Linked DNA regions of Solanum lycopersicum. The protein of the gene in region 1 binds, or shares a complex with, the protein of each later gene. Links are inferred from orthologs where the notes say so. Each region holds a gene or a part of one and is shown on either strand. Other genes may lie near its edges. The genes, in order: mitotic checkpoint serine/threonine-protein kinase BUB1, mitotic spindle checkpoint protein MAD2, mitotic spindle checkpoint protein MAD1 and mitotic spindle checkpoint protein BUBR1.

Evidence for each region.
Region 2: mitotic checkpoint serine/threonine-protein kinase BUB1 (region 1) and mitotic spindle checkpoint protein MAD2 share a complex: the UniProt entries of both Arabidopsis thaliana proteins name them as parts of the mitotic checkpoint complex. The link is inferred for Solanum lycopersicum from reciprocal best matches to the Arabidopsis thaliana genes AT2G20635 and MAD2.
Region 3: mitotic checkpoint serine/threonine-protein kinase BUB1 (region 1) and mitotic spindle checkpoint protein MAD1 share a complex: the UniProt entries of both Arabidopsis thaliana proteins name them as parts of the mitotic checkpoint complex. The link is inferred for Solanum lycopersicum from reciprocal best matches to the Arabidopsis thaliana genes AT2G20635 and MAD1.
Region 4: mitotic checkpoint serine/threonine-protein kinase BUB1 (region 1) and mitotic spindle checkpoint protein BUBR1 share a complex: the UniProt entries of both Arabidopsis thaliana proteins name them as parts of the mitotic checkpoint complex. The link is inferred for Solanum lycopersicum from reciprocal best matches to the Arabidopsis thaliana genes AT2G20635 and BUBR1.

The regions. Positions count from the first base shown.
Region 1 is NC_090806.1:64,725,962-64,732,164, forward strand, and holds the start of mitotic checkpoint serine/threonine-protein kinase BUB1, read left to right. Parts: upstream 1-2,655; 5' UTR 2,656-2,773; coding exon 2,774-2,847; intron 2,848-2,924; coding exon 2,925-3,066; intron 3,067-3,281; coding exon 3,282-3,439; intron 3,440-3,545; coding exon 3,546-3,636; intron 3,637-5,112; coding exon 5,113-5,217; intron 5,218-5,299; coding exon 5,300-5,387; intron 5,388-6,203. UniProt on the Arabidopsis thaliana protein: Serine/threonine-protein kinase that performs 2 crucial functions during mitosis: it is essential for spindle-assembly checkpoint signaling and for correct chromosome alignment. Has a key role in the assembly of checkpoint proteins at the kinetochore.
Region 2 is NC_090804.1:8,536,518-8,542,272, reverse strand, and holds mitotic spindle checkpoint protein MAD2, read left to right. Parts: upstream 1-1,955; 5' UTR 1,956-2,137; coding exon 2,138-2,226; intron 2,227-2,681; coding exon 2,682-2,812; intron 2,813-2,905; coding exon 2,906-3,026; intron 3,027-3,226; coding exon 3,227-3,330; intron 3,331-3,433; coding exon 3,434-3,555; intron 3,556-3,640; coding exon 3,641-3,700; 3' UTR 3,701-3,900; downstream 3,901-5,755. UniProt on the Arabidopsis thaliana protein: Required for the execution of the mitotic checkpoint which monitors the process of kinetochore-spindle attachment and delays the onset of anaphase when this process is not complete.
Region 3 is NC_090800.1:87,721,789-87,728,057, reverse strand, and holds the start of mitotic spindle checkpoint protein MAD1, read left to right. Parts: upstream 1-2,750; 5' UTR 2,751-2,993; coding exon 2,994-3,173; intron 3,174-4,016; coding exon 4,017-4,116; intron 4,117-4,749; coding exon 4,750-4,910; intron 4,911-6,064; coding exon 6,065-6,262; intron 6,263-6,269. UniProt on the Arabidopsis thaliana protein: Required for the execution of the mitotic checkpoint which monitors the process of kinetochore-spindle attachment and delays the onset of anaphase when this process is not complete.
Region 4 is NC_090803.1:68,278,883-68,285,182, reverse strand, and holds the start of mitotic spindle checkpoint protein BUBR1, read left to right. Parts: upstream 1-2,905; 5' UTR 2,906-3,096; coding exon 3,097-3,296; intron 3,297-3,471; coding exon 3,472-3,531; intron 3,532-3,654; coding exon 3,655-3,799; intron 3,800-3,893; coding exon 3,894-4,051; intron 4,052-5,802; coding exon 5,803-5,884; intron 5,885-5,957; coding exon 5,958-6,024; intron 6,025-6,095; coding exon 6,096-6,150; intron 6,151-6,300. UniProt on the Arabidopsis thaliana protein: Essential component of the mitotic checkpoint. Required for normal mitosis progression. The mitotic checkpoint delays anaphase until all chromosomes are properly attached to the mitotic spindle.

The DNA.
Region 1 (6,203 bases):
TTCAAATTTACAATTAATAGTTTCAAATTCTTAATAAAATTTTTAGCTTCGCTATTGTTGATTTTTTCTTATAATTCGACGATATATTTGATGCAATCAAAAATTGAAACGTGGCATTATTGGTGCTTGATGAAGTCTGAAAATTCATGGACTTGTGTCTTTTCAATTGGGTGAGGTACGATTCCTATTGCAGTGGTGGGGATGGGTTTGTTTGGCCCAACAACCCAATTAAAACATTTGGGCCCATTTGATGTACTTCGTAATTTGTACATGTGAATTCTCATGGATAATTGCAAAATATAGCTAGATTTTATGATTTTTTTGAAATGTATTACAATTTTTTTTAAAAAAAATAAATGTAGCAAACTATGTGTATGCACAAAACCTAATCCTAATTGAAATCGAGTGGATAAATGTGGGGTGGGGAGGTTAATTGTATGTGTATAAATGTGTTTTCAAAACAGAAATTGGATGTATGTAGTTATGTATGATAAATTATGATAAATCATATGTATATGTTATGTATTCCTAAGTTATATGAGCACAATATTGGCCAACTGAAAAATCGATGAACAAGTAAGGACGGGGTAAATAATGACGGGATATAAACGCCGATGAGCAAGTGAGGTTAGGATGGACAATAACGATATAAATTTTTTAGATACGTGCATATACATATATATATATATATATATATATATATTATATTTGCAATTGTTTAGAAGTACCAATACAAAGAGTAATAAGTGAATAAAATACGTTACATTACTAATTCTAAAGCTTGCACTATATTACAGGTCGGACCCACTAGTCACTTATCATTTTTAATTTCTTTTGTTAATTGAAATAAAGGAAGAGATTACCAAAAATTAAAAAAAGAAGATTAATAGAGATTGTTGAATTGGGTAGGGGTGTGCATCGGTCGGTTCGGTTCGATTTTATGTGTTATCAATTTCGTTTATCGGTTTTCGATTTTTAAATATGCTAAACCAATAACAAACCAATAAGATATTCTTTATCGATCTTTTATTATTATCAATTTAGTTTTCGGTTTACCTTTACCCAATAAAAATTTCCGTAAAATATTATATCTCTTTTCATTTCTCTAAATGTTTTGATATGGTGAAACAAGAGAGATAATGAGAAATGCATCAATAAGAGAAAATATAATATGAATGTTATAATTACATGTTACCATCAAAACATATTATGAAATTTTTTTATGTTAATCAGTTTACGGACCTTTACAAACTTGCAAATTGCTACAAGCTACGATCACAAACTAAAACAAAAAATAGTCTAACAAGACTAAAATTAAAATCAAATAACTACAATTGTAAACCTTTTACTTTAATATTTAGATTTTGAGTAAACAGTAAAAACTAGTAAAGCGGTCTAGCGTGAAGTTGGTAGAATACTAATAATTTGATATAGTTATAGTGTCTAATAATATATTAAATAATTAAAAAGGGTAAAATTATAAATTGTTACCATACCCAATAACCCAATAGTAAAAATCAATACCAAATTAATTACCCAATAATTTTTTAATAAACCCACTAAAAATTTAATAACCTTATTATCCAATAATATTTTTTTCAATTTAATTTATCGATCAATTTAATTTTTACACACACCTAATATTCCTAATATTGGGTTTCATATAATTTAACGATAATTGATACAAATCAAATTAATCAATCATTGTTGAAACAAAGCCACATGTACATTAAAGCATCGTTGTCTTGAGGATAGAATATTAATTAATTAATTATGAAGTTATAACTAACAAAGTGTGATTTGATTAATTTTATACGCACATCATGTGAAAAAGTTTTGGTTAAAACTATCGTTGAAGTATGAGCTAAACCTAAAGTACATCCTTATATTATATAAGTGAACAAAAAATATTCTTGAACTATTTAAAGAGTTGCAAGATTCATCCTTTTATCTGATTTAAGAAATTAACATTGCCAACAAAAAAAGTATCAAGTCGAATGAATATATGTGCAAGGTTATGCTAGTCAAATTAGGTGATTTTTTATTTTAGGAATTGAGAATTTAAATCATATTTAGACAAAATACATTCAAATTCTAAATATTCTTTGTAAAAATATAGGCAAATACTACTCTAACTTCAAAATTTTTAAATAAAGTAATTTTTTTTTTATTTTCATAACAAAATGCCTATTTCGCTAAATTTTAAGCATTTTTGTGCATTATTTAAAATGTAAATTGGTATTTGGTTGTAGATATATTAGATACGTTCTAAATATTTTATTAAAAAAAATCTCTAAATATTTGGACGTAATATTTTTGAAATGATTTTTTTTTAAAAAATAATCTTTCTAACCATTGAAATTTGAGAGTATTATTGATGCAAGTCAATTTACTTGATGATGCAAAAAAATATATAAATTAACAACACTCAAATTTAGATTCTGAAAATTGAAGATTCATCTTCTATCTATATTCTTATTTTTCTTTTAGCTAACTTTGATGTTTTCGTCGTGGTCAAAACATGATCAATTAAATTATTTTTTTATTGATTCTATCATTTTCTTAATAAAAATATACTGAGGGACGATTCCTGCTATTTTTTTTTTGAATATTATAAGAATGTATTTTGTTTACTTATATAATATAAGGATGTTGGAGAAATATTTTAGTCCGAAACTCACAACAAAATTCAAATACATTGTATTCCCGCCCGTTTCATCTCCCTGAACCAGTAGGACAATTTTTCATTTTCCGGCGAGTGAGGCTGAATCAGATGGCAATGGCCGTCATTTCAAAAAATCAAAGCAATACAACTAGCTCCGACGACCCGTTATTGCCTTGGTTATGGTACCTTTTTATCTTATTTTCTCCCAAAATTTGCATTTGTACTCGTTCAATTGTTTATGTTATGCCCTAATTCGTAGGTCAATTGAGAAATCACTGAAAGAGCGAACGTCAATTGATGGAAGAGATCTGCATGAGCTTTGCTCGAACTGCATCAGTACCTTTAAGAACAATCCTCGGTACCGAAACGACGTCAGATTTCTCAAGATTTGGTTCCTATATGTAATAAATCCTATCTCCCTTTTGTTTTTCCTGTATTGATTTCTTTATGTATATGTTTAACCTAGTGATGTGAAGTGTTTGGGCAAAGGTATATTTGGGATTTTGAGTTAATTGGTGTAGAGTGTACACTACTTTCGTGATAAAGATGCACTTTGTATACAAGTGATGTGAAATGTTTGTTGCTTTATCTGATCTAGTGGTCGCTTGTGTTTCAGATGGATAGCAGTTCGAATCACGAAAGCATATATAGAGAAATTGAGCAGAATAAGATTTGTCTGTTCAATTCTTTGCTTTACGAGACATATGCGTTATTCCTAGAGGCAAAAGGGAGGTTAATTGATGCATTTCTCATTTACCATTTGGGAATTTCAAGGTTACATATTCTCTTTTGTAGGATCATAATTCTTTATGCATGTCAGCACATGTCTGCGTTTGTATTATATGACATTAAATTCATGAACTTTGGACTCTGGTTTTAGGAATGCTGAGCCTTTGGGCAGATTGAAGAAGGCACAAGTGTTGTTTCTTGAGAGAATGTCTGAGAAAGTAACAGCTGGTTCATTACAGAAGGTATGTTTGGTTCTTTTTCAGAATCTGTGCCAACTGGGACAAGGTGTGATAATGTTATAAGTGTAGAGTTAGGTCTTTGGAATTGGTGATGCTGGATTCAGTAATCAAGCTATTACCTAGAAAGGAACTGCTGAACTTCAATGAGATAAATCATTTATCTTGGCTTAAATGCATAAAGGACATTTTAAGGCTTCATGCTTGGATTTTCTTGTTATGCAGATTAGGACCAAATCTCTGACATCTATTCAGCTATCTGCATTTCCAGCTTTCTTAGTTCTTGTTCAATCCATACTGCATAAATGAAACATAGATAGTGATGTGAATATCAGTTTTTTCTGCTTCCAGCTAAAAATATAATGCTAACTCTTAATATTCCAGACAAGTAGATTTGGTCGGTTGATGAGTTCCATTTAGTTGATAGCTCATATGATATATCAAATGATCAATGAATGTGATATAACAATTAACCATCAGAGCTTTGACCTAGATGACAGAAGGGAATGGTTTCATTTATAGAGTTCTAGTCGCCTATCAATATCGTGTAGCTTCAATAAATTCCATCATCACTATGCCATCTGATAAAAAAGGAACATTTAGGACCATCTGATAAATTGAAAACTCAGCTTCTAAAAAGTCTTAAGACTTAATAGACACCCAAAAGGCTAAAGCTACTTAAAAGTATTGAGATATTAACCACCTTGTTGGAATCTTACCAGTATTGGTAAGTTGAGCATTTTTACATTTGAAATTTGAGCCCTAATGATTTTAAATTATATAATGTGTTTTCTGGTAACTTTAAGTATCTGCAGACTTCTCAAATCTGCAATGTCATATGTTGTTAGAATATGTTCATTATCAGAGAGTCAACAAGTGCTGATAAAGCAAGTCAAGTGTTGACTTTTGTCACGATGAATATTTAGCATCCATTTTATGATTGTCTTGCTCTTTAGTAATTAGTCAAGTTTATTTGTCAAAGAATTTCTATGTTTGCTTTCAGACACCCTATTACATCATACAACACATTCTAATTTCAGTGCCAAGAATGTTATTAGTCATATTTAATCTATTCTTTACCCAAAGTTAACACCCTTTAGATCTGTCAAGTTTCTAACATCCAGATAAGCTGGCCTAAAATCTTCAAGTTGAATATCAAGTGGTAAGATTGTAGGATAGTCACTGTACTTCATTTCCGTTGGGAGCCTTCAAGTTCATTTGCCCATTTCGTTGATTCTATTTACATGCATAATTAATTTCATGTTGCCTCTAGGCTATCTTTGTTGCTTATCACAGTCTTTTCTTTCAAACTGTGAGATTCTGATGTACCAGAGTTCTACAATCTCTTTTCATTTTCTCTTGTTTTGGAATACTTATGGACTATTTATCATGTTGTCTGTTATTTCAATTCTTACTCTTTTATTCCATGTGTTTAGTTGACACAGGATTATATTATTGATTTATTTATGCATCATCACGTAGATGGACATTGTGTCGGAGAATGGTGGATCTTGTGTCAATCCATGGGTGATCTCAACAATTAAAAATCTGTTGCAGAAGAAGAATACTGAGATAATAAGATATGATGTGAGATTGCTCAGAAGCATTTAATGAAACTATTTTACATGTTAACAGCAATTCGTGATAGCTACATGTGAACTTTCATCAGGGATACCATCCAAGCAAAAAGGCGTATTCAGGAAAGGTAGCACTGTCAACTTTGCAGAAATCTGCCAGGAATAAAACTATTGATATAGGTAAAAATTCTTGTTTCTTAGTCTATAATGGCTACATAGTATTCGATGCTCACTGACAGTTGCAGAGATTAAGATGACGGCAAAGTTGGGACTGGTCTTGGCCCTTGGGGCAACACATCTTCTAAATGTCCTGCAGTGACCATGGAGGACTGAGGTCTCTTGGGACTAGTACCTTGATACTTGGGTCTGACCCGCAATATATACACTAGTATTTTATGCCTTGGTTTGTTTAGCATGTATGCCCTTCACAATTACCCCTTGAATTGTTTTCTCTAGACGCTCTTGAAAATTTTAAACAAACATCACCTAATTCAGACACATCATAAGTTTGAATTGGATATACATATATTTTTCATAACTTTCCCCCATCTTTTCTTCCCTCACAATTTTTTGTGTGATTAAAGGTGGTATGGATATTATTAAGCTCTTTTAAATGAGATGCTTACTGGGTATCTATTAGATAATAAAAAGAGAGCCAGAGGAGTGTTATCGAATGTTATCACTAGATGTAGAGAGCTCATTCATTCCTTATGGTATCTGTTGTAGTTTGGTGGATATCAACTCCAGTAGGGAGAGGTGGCAGAGGCCTAAATCCACCCCCATCAACTTGAAGAGTGAAAGCATGGTGCCTAAGAGTTACTTATTGCACTTTCTGCTTTACAACAATAACAACATTCTCAGTGTAATCACACAAGTGGGGTCTAGGGAGGGTAGAGTGTATGCAGACCTTATCTTTACCTCGTGGAGATAGAGAGACTGTTTTCGGAAGATCCTCGGCCCAATTGCACTTTCTGCCTTAAATTTTGGAAATGGAAT
Region 2 (5,755 bases), on another chromosome or scaffold:
GATTTTGGGGTCTATCCATATAAGTTCAAGATGAGCAATCAATGGAAGAATTGAGATCCAAGAAAAAAAATGACTCAATGGTAGTTCAAAAAGTTATTAACAACGTCATAGCTAGCGGCATTAAAATTGTCAAAGGAGGAACAAAGAGGAAAGCAATAACCAGTGATTCACAGGAGAGTGAATCTGAAATTGACAGATTCGAAGAACATCAGGATCAGGAGGTAGTGTCTTAAAACACAATTTTAATCAATCAAGATATCTAATAATTCTAATAGTAATCAATCGCGAACATCTTCATCAGATCTTCTTGATTGCATAAAATAATTTTGTATGTAGCAATTTGTATATTTTGATGGTTACATACAAAATTGCTTGAGGTATATGTAAATTTTTTTATGTATTAACAAATCTAAAGAATATCAGGTAATTGTATAAAATAAATTTGTATATAGCGATTTGTATATTTTGGTAGTTATATACAATTTTTTTGAGGTATACGTATATTTATATATATATATATATATATATATATATATATATAAGTACTATATTTATATACATATAATCCTATACATATAGAGTTTATATTTTGATAGTTATATACAAAAAAATATTTGAGGTATAATATGTATATTTCTGTATATTTAAGTACTATATTAATGTACACATAATTATATACATATAGAGTTTATAGTTATATACAACCATATACATATAGAGTTTATAGTTATATACAACCATAAATAGTTCTTATTTATACAAATAGTTTATATGTGTAACGTATATAATTGAAAATATTAATTAATTGTATAAATATTCGATTTACATATTGACATATACTTTTTATCGTTTTCATAGGGATTTATTTTCATTTGCAAATAACCACGAAAATACGCCCCCCACATGCAGTGGTATACATATACAACTCATACATATAACATTACTCGATTTTTTTAACCAACAATTAGAATAGAATTGTTAATATACAATTTGTTTATATTTTTATGACCAAATATAACTACTTGCAATTTTAAAAATTTCAATTATATACTATGCAAATCAATCTTATTCTTTTTCACACTTTAAAACATGAAGTTTTCTTAAAAGAAAAATATACAAGAATATTGACGAACCATGAATTTTTCATTTTATATTTGCTTTTGTGGTACGAGGATAACAATTGTTATGATGTTTGTATTGTTATAGAACTCTTTTTGAAAAAATATTTGATTTGAAAGATTAACTTGAATCATGGGATTATGCAAGTATTTTGTTACCTTATTACCGTTCATGTATCCATTTATTAAGTAGAATATTACATAAATTATGAAAAATTGCACAAGTACCCTCCTATACTATGTCTGAAATCACAGAGAAACACCTTAACTAAATAAGGTCCTATTACCTCCACCCCCTCCCCTTACACTTATTTTTTGTAACTTTGTGCACCTTTTTAGCTTACGTGACATTCAAATATCTCGTACGTGTCTCAATCGCGTGGAGCCACGAAGTGTGCCACATAAGACAAAAAGTGCTCAAAATTACAAAAAAAAAAGTTCAGGGGTAATAGGAAGTTAATTTAATTAAGGTGTGTCTCTAGAATTCCAGTTATAGTCTGGGGATACTTATGCATTTTCCTCATAAATTATAAACAAAAAAAACTTAATATGCAAATTAAATGCTCCATAGCAAACTAAATTATACTCGTAAAATATAATTATATAAGACAAAAAGTGCTCAAAATTACAAAAAAAAAAGTTCAGGGATAATAGGAAGTTAATTTAGTTAAGGTGTGTCTCTAGAATTTCAGTTATAGTCTGGGGATACTTATGTATTTTCCTTATAAATTATAAACAAAAAAAACTTAATATGCAAATTAAATGCTCCATAGCAAACTAAATTATACTCATAAGATATAATTATATAAACTATACTTATATAAGTTATAAATTTTCAGTGTGGCCCAATTTTTGCACTAAACCCATCTGACCGTTGTTTTGTGTCATTTCCAAAAACTAGCCGTTGCTTCTTCCACTATGTTTCTCAATTCTCATAAAAACCCTAAATTCATCTCTGATTCTCTCACAAGCAATCAATCTCCATAACCATTTTTCTACTTCTATTTCCTAATCTGAAAATGGCGTCAAGAACAGCCTCCAAAGACATAATCACACTTCGTGGTTCCGCCGCAATCGTCAGTGAATATTTTGGCTATGCTGCAAACAGGTAACAACTCGGAATTCCTGTTTTTTTCATATCAAATTTTGGTTATGTAGACTTGCACGTTGTTCACATAGTGATCGGATCTCAGATTTAGATAGATTTCACAAAACCCCTAAATTTGCTTTGAAAATTAATTATCAACCTGAAATTCAGCCCAATGAAATTGGGTTTGAGCAGATTAGTAATGAAATTGGATTGAATAGATTTCATCAATCGATACGTTGTTGATTTTCCGATTGATTGAATAAAATGCTTTGTGTTCTTCGTTTATTTACCTGCATTGGACTAAAATGGGCTACAATAGAGCGGATGAATTGATTTATCTGACTGATTCCAATTAGTTTTACGTTGGCCATCGGCCATTGTTGATTGATTAATTCCTTTTATGTTCGTTGTTTATGGTTTTGTCTGAATGCTGATTTTTTTTTTTTGAATTTGTGCGGGGATTATGTATTTAGCATTTTGTACAACAGAGGAGTATATCCTGAAGAAAGTTTTAAGAAAGTGAAGAAATATGGTCTCACAATGTTGCTTACTGAAGATGAAGGTGTCAAGACCTTTGTTTCCAACTTGACTGCCCAACTTGCTGGTAAGTTGTAGAATTTTGACGAGGCTGTAGATTGGTTCAGATCATATATTAGGTAGTGAAATGATTGTTTTCTTAACGATTTTGTTCATGTAGAGTGGTTGGAAACTGGAAAGCTACAAAGGGTGGTTCTTGTCATCATGAGTAAGGCCTCTGGTGAGGTATTAGAAAGGTGGAATTTCAGTATCGAAACTGATAGTGAGGTTGTCCAGAAAGGGTAAGATGTTAATCATCTTTGGTTAATAATTGTGGATTGAAAGAAGTGTATGTTGGAGTTATTATGGCAGAAGACCTATAATTTCGTTCGTGTGCTTAAATAGTCCAGAGCCAAATACTCAACCCTGGCTTGCTTTTGATGTCTTCGTATGTTGGATTGTTTGTTAAATAATTAGCTAAATGGTTTATTTGATTTTCCAGTGTTTCAAGAGAGAAAAGTGATAAAGAAATAATGAGGGAAATTCAAGCGATTATGAGGCAAATAGCGTCCAGCATCACTTATTTGCCGTGCCTTGAGGAACCATGTAAGCATCATTTGTGCTTGGATGTTACGATACAATGGCAATGTTGCTTTTTTGGGATGTTTCTTGATGAGATTTCTTGTTTCATTTGTGTGTATGGCTGTAGGTGTGTTTGATGTGTTAGCATACACTGATATGGATGTTGCAGTTCCATTCACTTGGATTGAGAGTGACCCTAAACTGATTGCGAATCCACAAATGGTGAAACTGCACTCTTTTGACACTAAGGTAGGAGCAATTTGCTGCTTGATTCTGATACGAATCCCCTGGATATTTCGGTGACCCTAACTCGAGTTTTGTTTTCTCTATGCAGATTCATAAGGTTGACACATTGGTTTCATATAAGAATGATGATGAATGGGATGAGTCCTAGACCATGGATCCTTGTTGTACCTTACTTTTGTTGTCATTGTGAATCATTGATTCACATTTTGTATGTTAGATTGTGTAAACCTTGAAACATCTATTAGTTTGTATCCTGAATGAGTATTGAAGGAAATTGAACAATTAGATCAATTTCTCCGTGTGAACATGTTTTTTGCCTTGTGAAATATATTTGGGTACTTTTTTACACGTCCTTGTTGTCTACACATTGCCATAGCACATAATAATGTTGTTTGCGTCGGCTTGGATTTATACGCAACTCAAATTATGTTGAAATTTTGGTTTTTTTCTTTCTTCCGTCTCCCCCAACTACGCAGGCAATTTCTTGAACGGAGAAAATAAATACTTTTTTTGACTTTTGAAATTTGCCTTCAACATTCTCTAAAAAAGAGAGGTAACGGGGGAAGAAGATCAGTGTGCCTTTTTTATTCTTACATACAAAGTTATCATGCCGTTAAAAATAAATAATCAATTAATGTCATGATCTTTTTGTCGAAGTTAACGGATTGCACATAAATTATAGTGTTTTTAGTCTAATAAAATAAGAAAGTAATAAAAAAATTTGGATCCTCATGAATCGGGAAATTTGAACCCGACGTGAATCGAACACGCAACCTTCTGATCTGGAGTCAGACGCGCTACCATTGCGCCACGGATCCTTGGATGGCTAAAGTCTTCCATTTTTGATAGTCATTACATCTCTGTATTATTTTGGGAAGTGGATGAAATAATAACAATAAGAAGAAGAAGAAGAAGAAATAAATCTTTGATGTTATTTTTTTAGTTTTATTTCTGAAATATTTATTATCAGCACAATTGTTTTTTCTTTAAGGATATTTATGATTTGGTTTCAGTCAGTTTTCGTTAAAAGTTAAAATATAAAAACAAACAAATTTAATAAAATTTTAAATTAATAATATCAAAGTAAATATATATAATTTGCATTCATCAATTAGTTATTATTGGTTCAATTTTTCAATGTAATTTTATTAAACATGATATGCATCGTTTTTAATTTTCCCTATAAGAAAAGACCTTTAATCATTTGCTAATTTATAATTTGGTATTAACATTTAATTAGGATGACTATAACATTAAATCTCTACGATTTATAAATTTTATAGTATTTTTTTTGAATTAAATTGATAAGAAATACGAAAATATATATCTAGGTACATCTCACAATAGTTTAATTTTGAATAAATGAGTTTGCATTCGAGTTTATATAAAGTTTATTAACCTTTTAAAGATAAATAATTTTTTCATCAAAAAATATGTGAAATATTTAAATTTATTTTAAAAGGTCATTTAGAGCTGTCTAAGATAGACACTAGCTTAGTGAACCCACTTTAGCTCACTCAGGTCCCGTATCTTGACAAATATTACACCAACTTTTTAGTTTGACAATATATTGAACTTCATGTAGTGGCTCATATGATTTATGTTGATTTTAGTATTTGCATACTTCAGATAAATTTTTTTGATAAATTTTTTTCCAGTTATTGCATGACTTTGTACTTATATTTTTCAAATCAATATTGTTTTATTTGAAAAAAGAAAAATTATTTATTTTTTCAGATTTTCAACTTTTTAAAGTCACCACTTTATTTTTTGAGAAAAATCAAGAAAACTATATTTTCAAAAGAAATAAACAGAAAAATCATTTTGAAAACTTTAAAGGAGTTCGGGAATTCTTATTAGGAAGATTTTGAAAGCATCTAAGACGTTCGCTTACTTGCAGTTATCCAACAACTAATTCATTTGGCCAAACAAATAACTAATTTGATTTTTGAGGTAACGAAAAATACTTTAGAATTGTTTGAAAAGTGAAGCACTACTGTGACCAATTAACTTGTAAAAATTTATTTCAAAGTTATTTTATTCGATTGGTTAAGTTGTTAAAACCGAAGCGGCGTTTTGCAAGGATTTGGATTCGTCAATCCTAAAACTAACAACAATTAATAAACAAGTAGTAAAGTGAGAGAGAAAAAAAGAGAGAGGGAGATAGGGTCGGGTCCAAAGCCAACTTTTGTTCGCCTGGACC
Region 3 (6,269 bases), on another chromosome or scaffold:
TGTTGTTAATATTCGTTTTTGTTCAAATTTCAAAGTAACAAGTATTTTTCTTTTCATATTATATAAATTTCACTTTTTTAAGAAAATAAATGAGTTTACTATTATACCCTTATTTATTGTTTTTAAGTCAAAATTTCAATAAATGAATATAAATTAGTTGGTCAAATTCATATTTTGAAGGCTAATAAACTCTCAAAGGTGAAATAGAGAGAATATATATATAGATTTTCTGAAATGACAGATATAATATTAATAAACATATATTTTTTAGTGAGAACAAAATAGAAATCAAATGAAGTATAATTCTAGCTTTAAAATAAAATAAAAATAAAAAAACGATCATCATTATAAAAATTCAACACTAAAGTCAAAGATTATTTTCAATTATATACTAAATAGCACAATTTTTAAGAGGATATAAATTACTTTATTTTTATAAAAAAATGATAGCTTAATGAAATATATATTATATTTTGTTATTTTCTTGATTGACGTAAAAAATAATAATTATTTAGGCCGATCAATTAAATACTTTGATATTCTCTTTAATATAGTATGTATTCGATTTATATAGGTGTTATTCAATTCATAAGTGACCATCAAAATATTATTTGAGGTAAACTATAGTTACTTATTATTTGGGTTAAGAAACACGTTTGTAAACTTATAATCATGTTTATAAATTAAGTTTAATATTGTTTAAGAACTTAAAGATGGTCTAAAAATGATGCTGCTGAAATTGTTAAACACAAAAAATTGAAGTATGATGCATTCATATTGCAATAAATTAAACGTGTTGTAATAAAAAAAATATTTTGTCAAACTAAAAGTTTTAAACTTTTACAAGTCAATGTTATTTTTTTTCTATAAGTTAATATTTTTTTCTTTTTTATTTCATGGTTTTAATTAAGGTGGAGGGTCAATTAGATTTCAAAAATTCTTTATGTCCCATAAATTTCTATGCACGTACATCTGAATTTTTATTTCAAATGTCATTATCATATTAGCTCAAAGACATTAACAAAAATAAAATTAGGAGAAAATTAAGAAATCTTTTTCCCGGGTCTTTAGGGATAATGGAGACAAAAATGGTCAAAAATTTATTAGGAATTATTTTAGTATGGTCTTGAATAATATTTGTAGGTTGATTTTTGAAAAATTATATATTTAATGTTCAATATAGATTCTAATAATTTAGGCAGGTAAAGAAAATAATATATAGTAAAAAACAAAATTTATATAAAAAAAAAAGTAATGTAGTTTCAATTTATTTTTTATTATCATCTCAAAATTAAATGTCAATCATTTTTTATATGATGACTTTATTTCAAAATCGGTATATTATTGGTGTTGGGTTTAATTTCAATAAGCCTAACATCACTGTTCAACATAATATATAACCTATTTTAACAAGAGTATAATATATTAGCATTGAAAAATTACCTATCATTTTCGATAAGTACACTTATAAGTTGAAATAATTTTCTTTAACACTTTTGTAGTGTACAAGTAAATAAAAAAAAAAAGTTTTTAAGCACTTGTTTTATTAGTTAGTCTCATGTGCTTATTTTTAGTGGTTAATTATCTTATGCTTACAACAAGTTAAAGTTTTTGCATAGAATACCTTTGTTTTGGGATGATATTAATTTTTTGTCCATTAAATTTATGGTCTTTAATTTTTGCCTTTATTGTCTATTTAATGAAAATTTGTGGACCTAATAAGTACTTTAAATTGTGACCTAAATTTGTTGGGCAAAACTAATATCACAAAGGCAAATTTTTTTAGAGAGTGTTTAGATTGAAGTATAAATTTTATAATATCTGATATTTGGATTTCTAATTTGAGCCACTGAAGCATAACTTGTGTCTTTGAGTTTTTTTTTTTAATGGGGTCTTGGGATCATAATTTGTGTTACTAAATTATTGTTCTAGGATATAGCTTTAACTGAACTTATATCTCGTTTTTCATTTTTTACGCTCTAAAAAATAAAGGAAATTGTATAAAATAGCAAGTTATTAATTCAAATTAAATGTTGTAAACAAGCTTCGATTTAATTGTGCCCTATAGCAAACTATTGTTATTTTCGCCTCTTTACTTGGTGGATCTCGCTCGCCACTCTCGTTTGGTGGCAGTCTCACTCACCTCTCTTGCTTTTTATACAAACACAAATGTATAAAATGCGTTTGTGTTTGTATAAATCGCCAGGAAATTGTATATATACGTATATTTTCGTTTTCCTCTCTCTCCTCTTCCATATCTCGCTCTCCACTCTCCCATATCTCGCTCGCCACTCTCCCAGATCTCGCTCGCCTCTCTCCTTATACAAACAGAAACGAAATGTATAAATTACGTTTCTGTTTGTATAAAGCGATAGAAAATTGTATATACACGTGTAAATGTATATACACTTATAATTATACAATATAAATATTTTCCTACCCAGCTTTTTTTGCTTTTCTCCATTTCTCGTTTTATACATACACCAATTATATAATTGATCTTTTGTATACAACTGTTTTCTTTTGTATATGTATAACGAATTAACAACTGTTTTGTTTGTATGTGTATAGCAAATTATACATCTGTTTTTTTTTTGTATATGTATAACGAAATATACATATTTATATTTGCTATGGATCTTAATTATGCAAACTATAGCTGTAAGCCTATAATAAGCCAATATGAATTTTATGTTTGTTACACGTGAGTGTTACTCAAAAATAAAGATATTAAATATTACTCCTATTTTGAAGAGCAAAAATTAGTGAGAGGCCCAAAATAAGGACATTTGTGGGAATGACCCAAACAAGTGTAGCAGTAGCCCAAAGGGATTCGGGTCATCTCTGGCGACGGATTATTTGGGTCCGATTCACCAATTGGCGCCTCAGTTTTCGAAACACTTGCAGTAGCTGCTTCGCCTCTTACATTTTCATCAATCGCCATCATCGGAGCTTGATTCAATTACTGTAGAAGTTATCAAAACCCTAGTATTATGATCCTGAGAACACCACCATTCAAGCGAAAGGCGCAGAGCAATCAACCGGAAGATGGAAGTCCCAGCTCCGGCAATCAGCAGCTTGTCATCTTCGAGGATACACCGTTGCCGGAATCATCTCACCATCACCCAGAATCTTCCGAACAAATGCTCTGCACTTATCAATGCCGCCAAATGGTATTCATTCATTAATTCCCACTCTCTTCATTACAATTCCAGTATTGAATTGATTTTTTAGTAAATTCAAGGTTTTAAATCAGTGACTGCAGACATAGTGAGGCTTATACCTATTTTTCTTCTTATGTGGTAGTGGAAATTGCAACTATTTATGTATATATCTTGAGATGAAGATAGTAGGTGCACCCATTCCCTTGACTGTTTCAGTTTTTTCGCTTTGTCCACCTAATGAGATTTTCCCAGACTAAACATGTCTGTGATTTTATTGCTACTGGAGTGCTAATTAATCCATGTTAAGAGAATGGTTTTTCGAACTTGGGTTGATTCCTTGATGAGCTTTATATTCAAAGTTTATTCATATGTTGATAGAATTTGCTCTTAGATGTGTATACCAATTCGTAGTTGATTCTTGAGTCAACTTGAGGCTGAGCTTCTTCACAATGAACTAATCACAAGCAAGATTTTTTTATATAAATTAATTAGAACATTGTTTGCTAGTTTTCTGTATACTACTTGCATACAGGTGTTTTATGCCCTCCATTAACACAATCTACTTCATCTTTTTTGATAACACAAATGTACTTACTTCACTAAAGAACAACTTATAATTGCATCTTAAATGGACTCAAATTGAGCTAATCTTGGTTAGCACATTTGGATAGCGTCACAGAAGATGATGGAAGACCTCTGAGTTAAATAATATATTCCTTTAAGTTAACATTCTTGTGTCTCTTATATTGGCCAATGACCGATCAACGGCTCCCTGTCTATTTATTGTACTCAGTTCTTGTGATAGCCTGCACGAGTTTGCTTATATCTATATAAAACAAATTCTGTTATCAGGTGAAGTCAGAGTTTTTTGATGCCTTAAGCAGTGCAGAAAAGCAAGCTCGTGATAACCAATCGAAACTTGAAGCACTAAACAATGATTATCTTAAAGCTGGTGAGTGATAAATATCCAATTCTGTGAATTATGATAGACTGGGTACATGATTTTGTTTCTCCTTGTCCTTTCAACAAACTTTTTTAAAAGTTTACCTTCTACTGCTCAATTTAATGCACTTTTACACCAGAGAATGAAGATTCTTTGATAGAGACATCTATAGAGCACACTACAATTGTTCCTTGGCTAAGCTAATCTTGTTTGTACAGTTCAATTGCTCCCCTGATTTCAATTGTTAAAAGGCTGTCTTCTTTATTTCAAAATTTATATGTGAGAACTGGCAACTTCACTGAAGTAACTTTCCAACATACACACACGTGTTTACATAAATGGATACAGGCATACATATATAGATACACACAAACATACATCCATTCATACACATATTGGAGTGATATTATTTGTCTTCATATCTTTTGTCTCCTTAATCATGTGTTGACTCCTTTGTAGCAACTGTCATGCCTTTTATTTTTCTTTTGTTAATTTCCTTTGTATTTTTTTCTCTCTGTTCACCACTGACCCTTTACTCCACTGGAGGGATAATGACTATTTGGTTTGTAATTCACCTTTTCTGCAAAGTATACTCCAATACTTATTGATTAATTTGCATGATGACATGAATTACACGTGCAGATGCTGAAAGGAAGAAATTTCGTGATCAATTTCTCAATGCAGAGCAAGAACTAGCTGCTGCTAAAGGGCGTGAAGAGGCTCTGCAGGACCAGCTAATGAAGGAGGTCAACGTTTCTCATGAACGGCTCAGAAAACAGTTGCAGTTGTACAATGAACTTGAGGTGCTAGATGTTAATTGTCATTTCTCATTATATTTATGTCACATTCTTGAGAAGAATTAATGGGTTCTCTTTGGCTGGCATGTTTTTAAGCTGCTGTATGAGTTCATCAATAATTTGGTCTAATCTGTAAATTGAACTTAACTTTAAGGCAATTTGGTTTGGTAAGTGTGATAATTTATGCCTAGGAAGAGACTACACTCTCTTTTTGACAAGGAATTCTTAGACACACAGATGGAAGAGATCAAATGGGAATAAGAAGCAATCTCGCTTTCCTTTTCGATCATTTTGATAGAGGGGGATGACGTAAGGGGACGAAACAAATTAGCATTTCTCATTGAACAAATACAAGAAAAAAATCATATTGAAAACACTCAACCCCTTCCTCTGAATAGCCCGTGTATAAGTGATCTGGAGAGGAAACCCACTTGTGGGACTATATTGGGTATGTTGTTGTTGAGGATAATAAGCAGTTTCCACTTATAAATCACTTTGAATATATATCAAATGAGATCCTTCTTAGATTCTACATCTTGAAACCAAGCCAATTTTTGCACTCTGTGCTCCAAAACAACTGGAGTCATCGCATTTACCCTGCAAAAGTCTTGGAACCAACCAAGACTGAACATGGACTCTGTAAGAAGCGAGTCAGACACTATCTTAATCTGATTAGACTGCATCTTAAACTTTATTACATTTTTTTTCTTTCCAACTGAAATAAAAAGTAGCAGGGACCATAATTTTCAAGTTATAATGATAATGACACTGATTTGTGACTAATAATGTGTACATCTATCTCCTGATAAAAGAAACTGTGTACATCTATCTCATTTGTTGAGGTGTGGTGACTTGGTCCTCAATGCTCAGCACAAGTCATGCTTTGGTCGTAATATTAGAGTTGTTTTCTGTTATTTCTTTCTTTAAGCAACAATTTATAGCAACATGTATACATCAGAGTGTAAATGCATAGGAGGAGATTTACCATTTAACTGCTGAATGAATGGTTGGGGACATACCTCCAGTTATTCATGTTTCTATTGGAGGTTTTCTTTGCTAGCATTTATCAATTCTTGAGGTACTTAATCTGTATAACTTTCTTAACTATCTCCTTCGTGCCATCTGTGATATAATTTGTCTCCCATCTCATTGTCTTCTAGGTGAAGTTCCAAAACGAGATGAATCTTCGTAAAAAAGTTGAGACGTCAGCTGCTGCAGCAGAAGAAAAAGCAAGTCTTTTAGAGAGAAAGCTTAGTAGTGTGTCGGAAAGTATAGAAAGAGAGAAAAGTCGTTTGCAGAATGATCTTGAGCTGCTCAAAAGTGAATCCAAGTTTTCTATCACAAAAATAAGTAACAATGTGAGAA
Region 4 (6,300 bases), on another chromosome or scaffold:
TCGTTGAACACAAGTTATTCTAATCTCTAACGATAACTACTAGGCCTGAATCTCAAATAAAACCATCCAATACTCATCAACTGGACCCATATACCCTTAACAAGTGATATGCTTGAAAACAAGTTTGCTTCAATTGATTTTTGTATCTTACTATGACTAATGTCCAGAGCTTTATAATGAGAAGCTTGAATTTAACGTCGCTCAATATCTACTTGTTTTATTCGTCTGTATATATATGGACATGACATTTGAACTTACCTAACTAATGCTTCATAAAGCAGTGAAGATATAACTAATATAACAAACCTGAAAAGCAGATGGAGGGTTTTGTACTAGTAATTAACTGTAATCATTCTAAATTGGAGAGAAATACAGTAGACAAGTCCAAGTACAACAAGAGTGAAATCCTAATAATTAATTAATTAATGGTCATAGGTGCGGCACTCGTCGGCGTCAGGGTTATTTTGACAGTAAGGTTCAAGGGGATCTTGATTAAGCTGAAGCTTGATGCGCAAATGCACCTTAGCCTAGCTAACTTCTTCCACCTCATCCCATGCCACCTTGCACTCGTCCGATCTGGCGTCTTCACTGCATACCTCCTTAGCTTCCTTCACTTTCTTCTCTATCATTTCCGTCAGCTGTTTTTCTCTCATCTGCGTCCCCTTATACTTTGGTACTCCTGCTGATCCACTCATCATCATCATCACCTTTTGCACTCCTTTCCTCCTGGATCCAGTTACACTAGCAACATGAATTGGGAATATAGATGCCTGCTTCAAGTTCAAAGCCATCACAATTATTTATTATAGATGACTTTTTTCGGATGTCTGTTGATTTCTGGTGGAAAAAAAAATGTACAGATTTCTTGTGAAATTATAACGAACAATATAATCTCATATCTCTATCACAATCAGGGCATCATTTAGTACTGCTCAACTAACATAAAACGACATCGTCTGGTATTTCTCGGTTTGGAGATAAGGTTCCATCTTCAGCTTGGGGCCCATGGGAACAGTTCTTCCACCTTTGCCTTTTTCTCTTCTCCTCTCCTCTCCTGGGTGGACTTTCAGTTTTATCAAATTTTGCTTTGATTTTTTTAGTTTTTAGTTTTTACAAAAACGTGCATCTATTTCAAATCAATTCTTTTACATGTTCTAAAAAATTAATTAATTTTTATATAATCTTACAAAATGAGCAAATTGTTATTTATACACGTGTGTTATAGAGATGGCAATGGGATTGGATGTGTGTGCCGAGGGGTATGTTTATGGCTATGTTTATGGTTTTAAGGTTGTGTGGTGCGGTTAGATGTGGAGCTGATTGAAGTAGGCTTTTTAAAAATTAATGTGGAGTGGGACGGGTTGCAAGTATATGTAATTTTATGTGAATTCAAACTTATTTTTAGTTTTTACATGTTATAAGAGTGATAGAACATTATTTATTAAGATAATTTCTTTTAAGCTACTAAAATATTTAAAATAATAAATAAAAATGGTTTAATAAAAATAATAAAATTTCTTACCAATTTCCCAGTTGACCTCTTAAAAATAATTTTTAGGCCAACTACATAAACAAATCCCTAAACTTGTTGGGTTTTTCCCCTCATGTACCTCAACTACGTCATTTTTCAATTGAATCATTCAACCACCCATAATTTGTTTCTTTAAAACACTGTTGGTTGATTTTGATCAGCTTTTCTATTGTAAATGTCTTCAATTGTGTTCGAATTGTAATAATTTTGATTGAAGGAATGAAGACTAACTGTGTTAGTCTCATTTGTTTTCTAATGTGTTCAAATGACTCAAGTAAAACATAATTATTCTCAAACATTTTCACTTTCAATTGGACTAATTATTTGTGGAACAACATATGTATCCTCTATCAATACCCCTCACAAATCTGATTTCACATCAGACAACAGTGTTTGATTAAACAGAACAAATTATGGGAGTTCAATTATTCAATAGGAAAATGACGTAGTTAAGGTACCTGAGGAAAAAAACCTAACAAGTTTAGGGATCTGCTTCTGTATTTGGCCTAAATTTTAAATTACTATCCTATTAAATTAATACAACTTAATGAAAAGATAAATTTATTTTTATGAATTTTATCTTAGTATCAAATATAATTAGAAAAAGAAAATATTAAAAAAATTATGGGAGGCAGGTTGAAAATGAAAAGAGTTGTCATGCAGGGCGCGGCGAGGCGCGGCAGATTAAAATTTTTGCGGGTTAAGCTCAACCCGCAACACCCCACCCTACACCACCGCATTGCCATCTCTAATGTATTTTTAATAACTTAATCTTTGTATTTTTTAAAAAATAAATGTTTGAAATTATAAATTTGTATTATTTTTATAATTAACCACTAGTCAATAAATAATATTGATTAATTATTATTTTAACGAAAAAGACTCATAAATATTCATAAACTATCTGAAATAACTCATATTTACGTTTAAACTATATTTCAGTTCAAAACTATCCTTCCCATAATACTATTGGGTCAAAAATATATTTCTTATTAACGGAATTTGTTAAATGTCATGTGGATGTCACATTCCATGTCAATTTGGTTCTACTGCCACATAGAATAAATGGAAAAGGGGTAAAAAATACCCTTAAACTATTCGAAATAGCTCATATTTATCCTTAAACTATATTTCGGCTCAAAACTATCATTCCCGTCAAACTATTAGATTAAAAATATCTTCTTATTGATGAAAATTGTTAAATATTATGTGAATATCAGATTGATTGCAAATAAGATTTCATTGTCACATAAACTAAATCTCTAAATTTGAATTAAATTGAATTAAATATTTTACTAATAGGTCATATTATTAATTTCCGGGTAAATTCCAACGGTCTAAATTCGATGTACTTGGCCCACTTTGTTGTTTGTAGTAGCGCACTCGTTAAAAAACATTACTTATCTTATATTCAATCATGGTGGGACCAATAATATTGCGAAAATCTGGAATTTAAAGGAGGGTCCAACGGCTATGAAAGGAAGGGTTTAGGGCACAAAACAATTTCAAATTTGAAAGAAGGCTCTCAAAAAAACACCACCACAAGGAAGCAGCAAGAAGAAGAAATGGAGAAGGTAGGAGGAGATTACGTATTGGATAAGGAGGCAGAGTTCTTAGCGTCGAAGCAAGAGACTGGTCACGAGTGGGAACTCTTCAAGGAAAATGTCAGACCTTTGAAGAGAGGACGCAACGTTAATCTTCTCAATAATGCTCTTAAGTCTAGTACCGATTATCAACTCAAGAAATCTCTTCTTGACAAACGAAGGTTCCTCTATTTCTTCTTCTTTGCATTTTCATGACATTTACTCCTGAGGTTGGTCCAAAATGCAATTACTATTCCATCCCGCACTAGATTTTGATTAAGATGTACACGCTAGTTGTAGAATAGTAGCAGTTGCTGCATCCCTTATTAATTTTTGAATTCAACTCTTTCTGATTAGGGAATTTATTGAAGCAATTGACAAGTACAAAGGTGAAGATCCTCTTCACCCATGGCTCCAGTGAGTGCTCTTCTTTTCAGATGCAAATAATTTTTCAACTCTTATATCTTCTACTAGCATTTAATGAGTCAATCTCTGTTATTGAATAAACTGCTGACATAATTTTACATTAAAATTGTGAAGGTGCATCAAGTGGGTGCAAGAGGCTTTCCCTCCCGGTGGGGACAGTTCTGGACTTATAGTTATTTATGAACAATGTGTCCGCACCTTTTGGCACGATGAACTATATAAGAATGACCTCCGTTACTTGAAAGTGTGGCTGGAATATGTGAGTTTGATTTCTCCACATCCATTCTTTTGCCCCTAAATCTTCTCATCATGCAATTTGGTAAATCAGTTTTCTTATTGATGGCTCTTTGCAGGCTGAAAATTGTATGGATGCTGAAGTCATTTATAGCTTTCTGGAGGCTAACAAAATTGGACTGACACATTCTTCATTCTACATAGCCTATGCTTTGCACATGGAATCTCAAAATAAAATTAAAACAGCAAACGAGATCTTCAATCGGGGGCTATCTATGTAAGTTGTGTTTCCATTGAGCCTTGGTTTAATTTTAGCCGTAAAGTTAGGTTCTTGCATAGTTAACATTGTGTTTCACTTCACACTAGGCAAGTGAACACGTCTTGGTTCCAGAGAAGTTATGCTATATGTTGTCTATGATGTGAGATGCATCATTCAAATGGTTTATTGAATTGCTGTCTGATATTTTTGTTCAAATAGCGTTTGATATGTCAAGTCTAATGATGTCTACGAAAGTTGCATTAATTGTATGCTAGTATTGAGTAATGTGTGGGGGCTGGGGGGGGGGGGGGGAGGGGATTTATGTTTGAAGCTTCGCCAAAATGAGTTCAGTGTTAAGTATGAAGCTGCACGGATAAGTATGTGGTGTCCCCTTCATATTGACCTACTAATTTTCATACCTTGAATACTAAGACAATTTCATTTGATAAGCTCAGAGGTCAGAACTGTGGTAGATTACATTGCTTACGGTCCCTTATTTTATGTTCTTTCAATATATGCTCATGTGACCGAATAATAAACTAAAGGCCGTGATCGTATGACAGTGGTATGCTTCTAGAAAACTTTATAATTATTAATTGCCATATGATGAACATATTTGATATCCTTATTAAGGAAATTTTGTATAAGCCGAGTAATATGATTATGAAGAACTACATGTATCTTTTTGAATTATGAAATGATTGGTTCCTTTATAGGCATCAATTGAATCAGATAGTACCATGTCACACAATTATGTTAAGCATTTGTACAGGATGAACAACAGAGACGTTATCATTGAGAAATTTGTGCTCTGGAATTAATCATTTATTTAGCTAATATAGATATTTCAGGTATGGCAGCATGCAAAATAGCCAGTGCCACTGTTCATTGAACTTTGCTTAATTACACAACCTAATCATGTTGTTTGTAACTTGTATAGCATGATTTTCTACTAAGAGCATTTCATGCCTTCAAAACAGCAAGTCTCTGTATGTGTTTCTAATAAAATGCTCTAGCTATCAACTGTTGACATAAGAATATATTGAAATATTTATTTCTTGTTCACATTTGCCTCATTCTTGAGGGACCTTTTATATTCTCTCTCTACTTGTTTTAACTTCTGATGGGGATGTGAATGCTATGATGCTGGCCAAACTTGCTGGCAGAATAATGCTACAGCAAGGTGAAAATTCTAATATATTTGGCATGATATTATTGTGGATGCTCAATTGGTTTTAGATATTACCTGACACCTAAATACCTTTGGGGGTAGTTTGGTTGTTGGATAGAGTTGTGCAGGTATTAGTTATGTAGGGTTCAATTATTTACGTATTACTAATTCATGTATTAGTTATACCATCTTCAAAGCTGCATAAAATAATACATAGATTGACGCCTAACTAGTACATGTTTTAGTTATGTGAGATTGTAAACCGTAAGCAAAAAACCATACTTGATGTGCTGAGTTTTATACATAGCAACTAAAATGCTGCCAAAAATGGTACTAGTTTATGCAGATTTTAATATATGAATAATCTAACCAACAACTAAACGACCCCTTGGGCTGCCTCAACAAGATTGTGGATGCTCTTTTTTCAAGCTTTCTTAGCCACTAATGAGTCTTTTCCATTAGAGATACAGTTAATACAAGTACAGAACACTGATTACACCAAGTAACCTTCCTCCTGCTTGTTCTCATCCACTTATAAGCCTATTTACTGACTCCCTCAGCTGGTTTATGATTAAAATTTCCGTCTCCTATGAATCAGGAATGCAGAACCTGAAGAGAAATTGAAAGTATCCTACAAGAAGTTTTTCAGTCGTTCAATGGGTCGCCCCAAAGCAGCAGAGGTATCAATTATTGTGACGACTTAAGTCCATTGTCGTTTGCTTTGATTTGAATTTGTGACGATTTGTATTTCAGGAGGAGATAACAGAACACCAGCTTCCAATGAGAAGCTTTGGCACACTGTTGGCTAGGGGGGAAGCTCGTAAGTGCATTTCTATGTCGTAGCTTCAGGGTGTCTGCTTGCTTTGGTTAACATTGTTTTTGCCTTTGCAGGAAACCAAACAACAGGAACTTCTGAATTGTCCCGGAAGAAAATGAAACCAGATAGGTAAGTGTGAGTCACTATTGTTTTCTCCCAAGTTACGTTCTTGTGTCCCTGCATTTTTCATAGTAACACCATGAGTTAAACAAATCTATGTCGTTATTACTTGTTCTTATCATCACATAGTTAAGCTGCTATGTCAGGCAAGAGATCTGA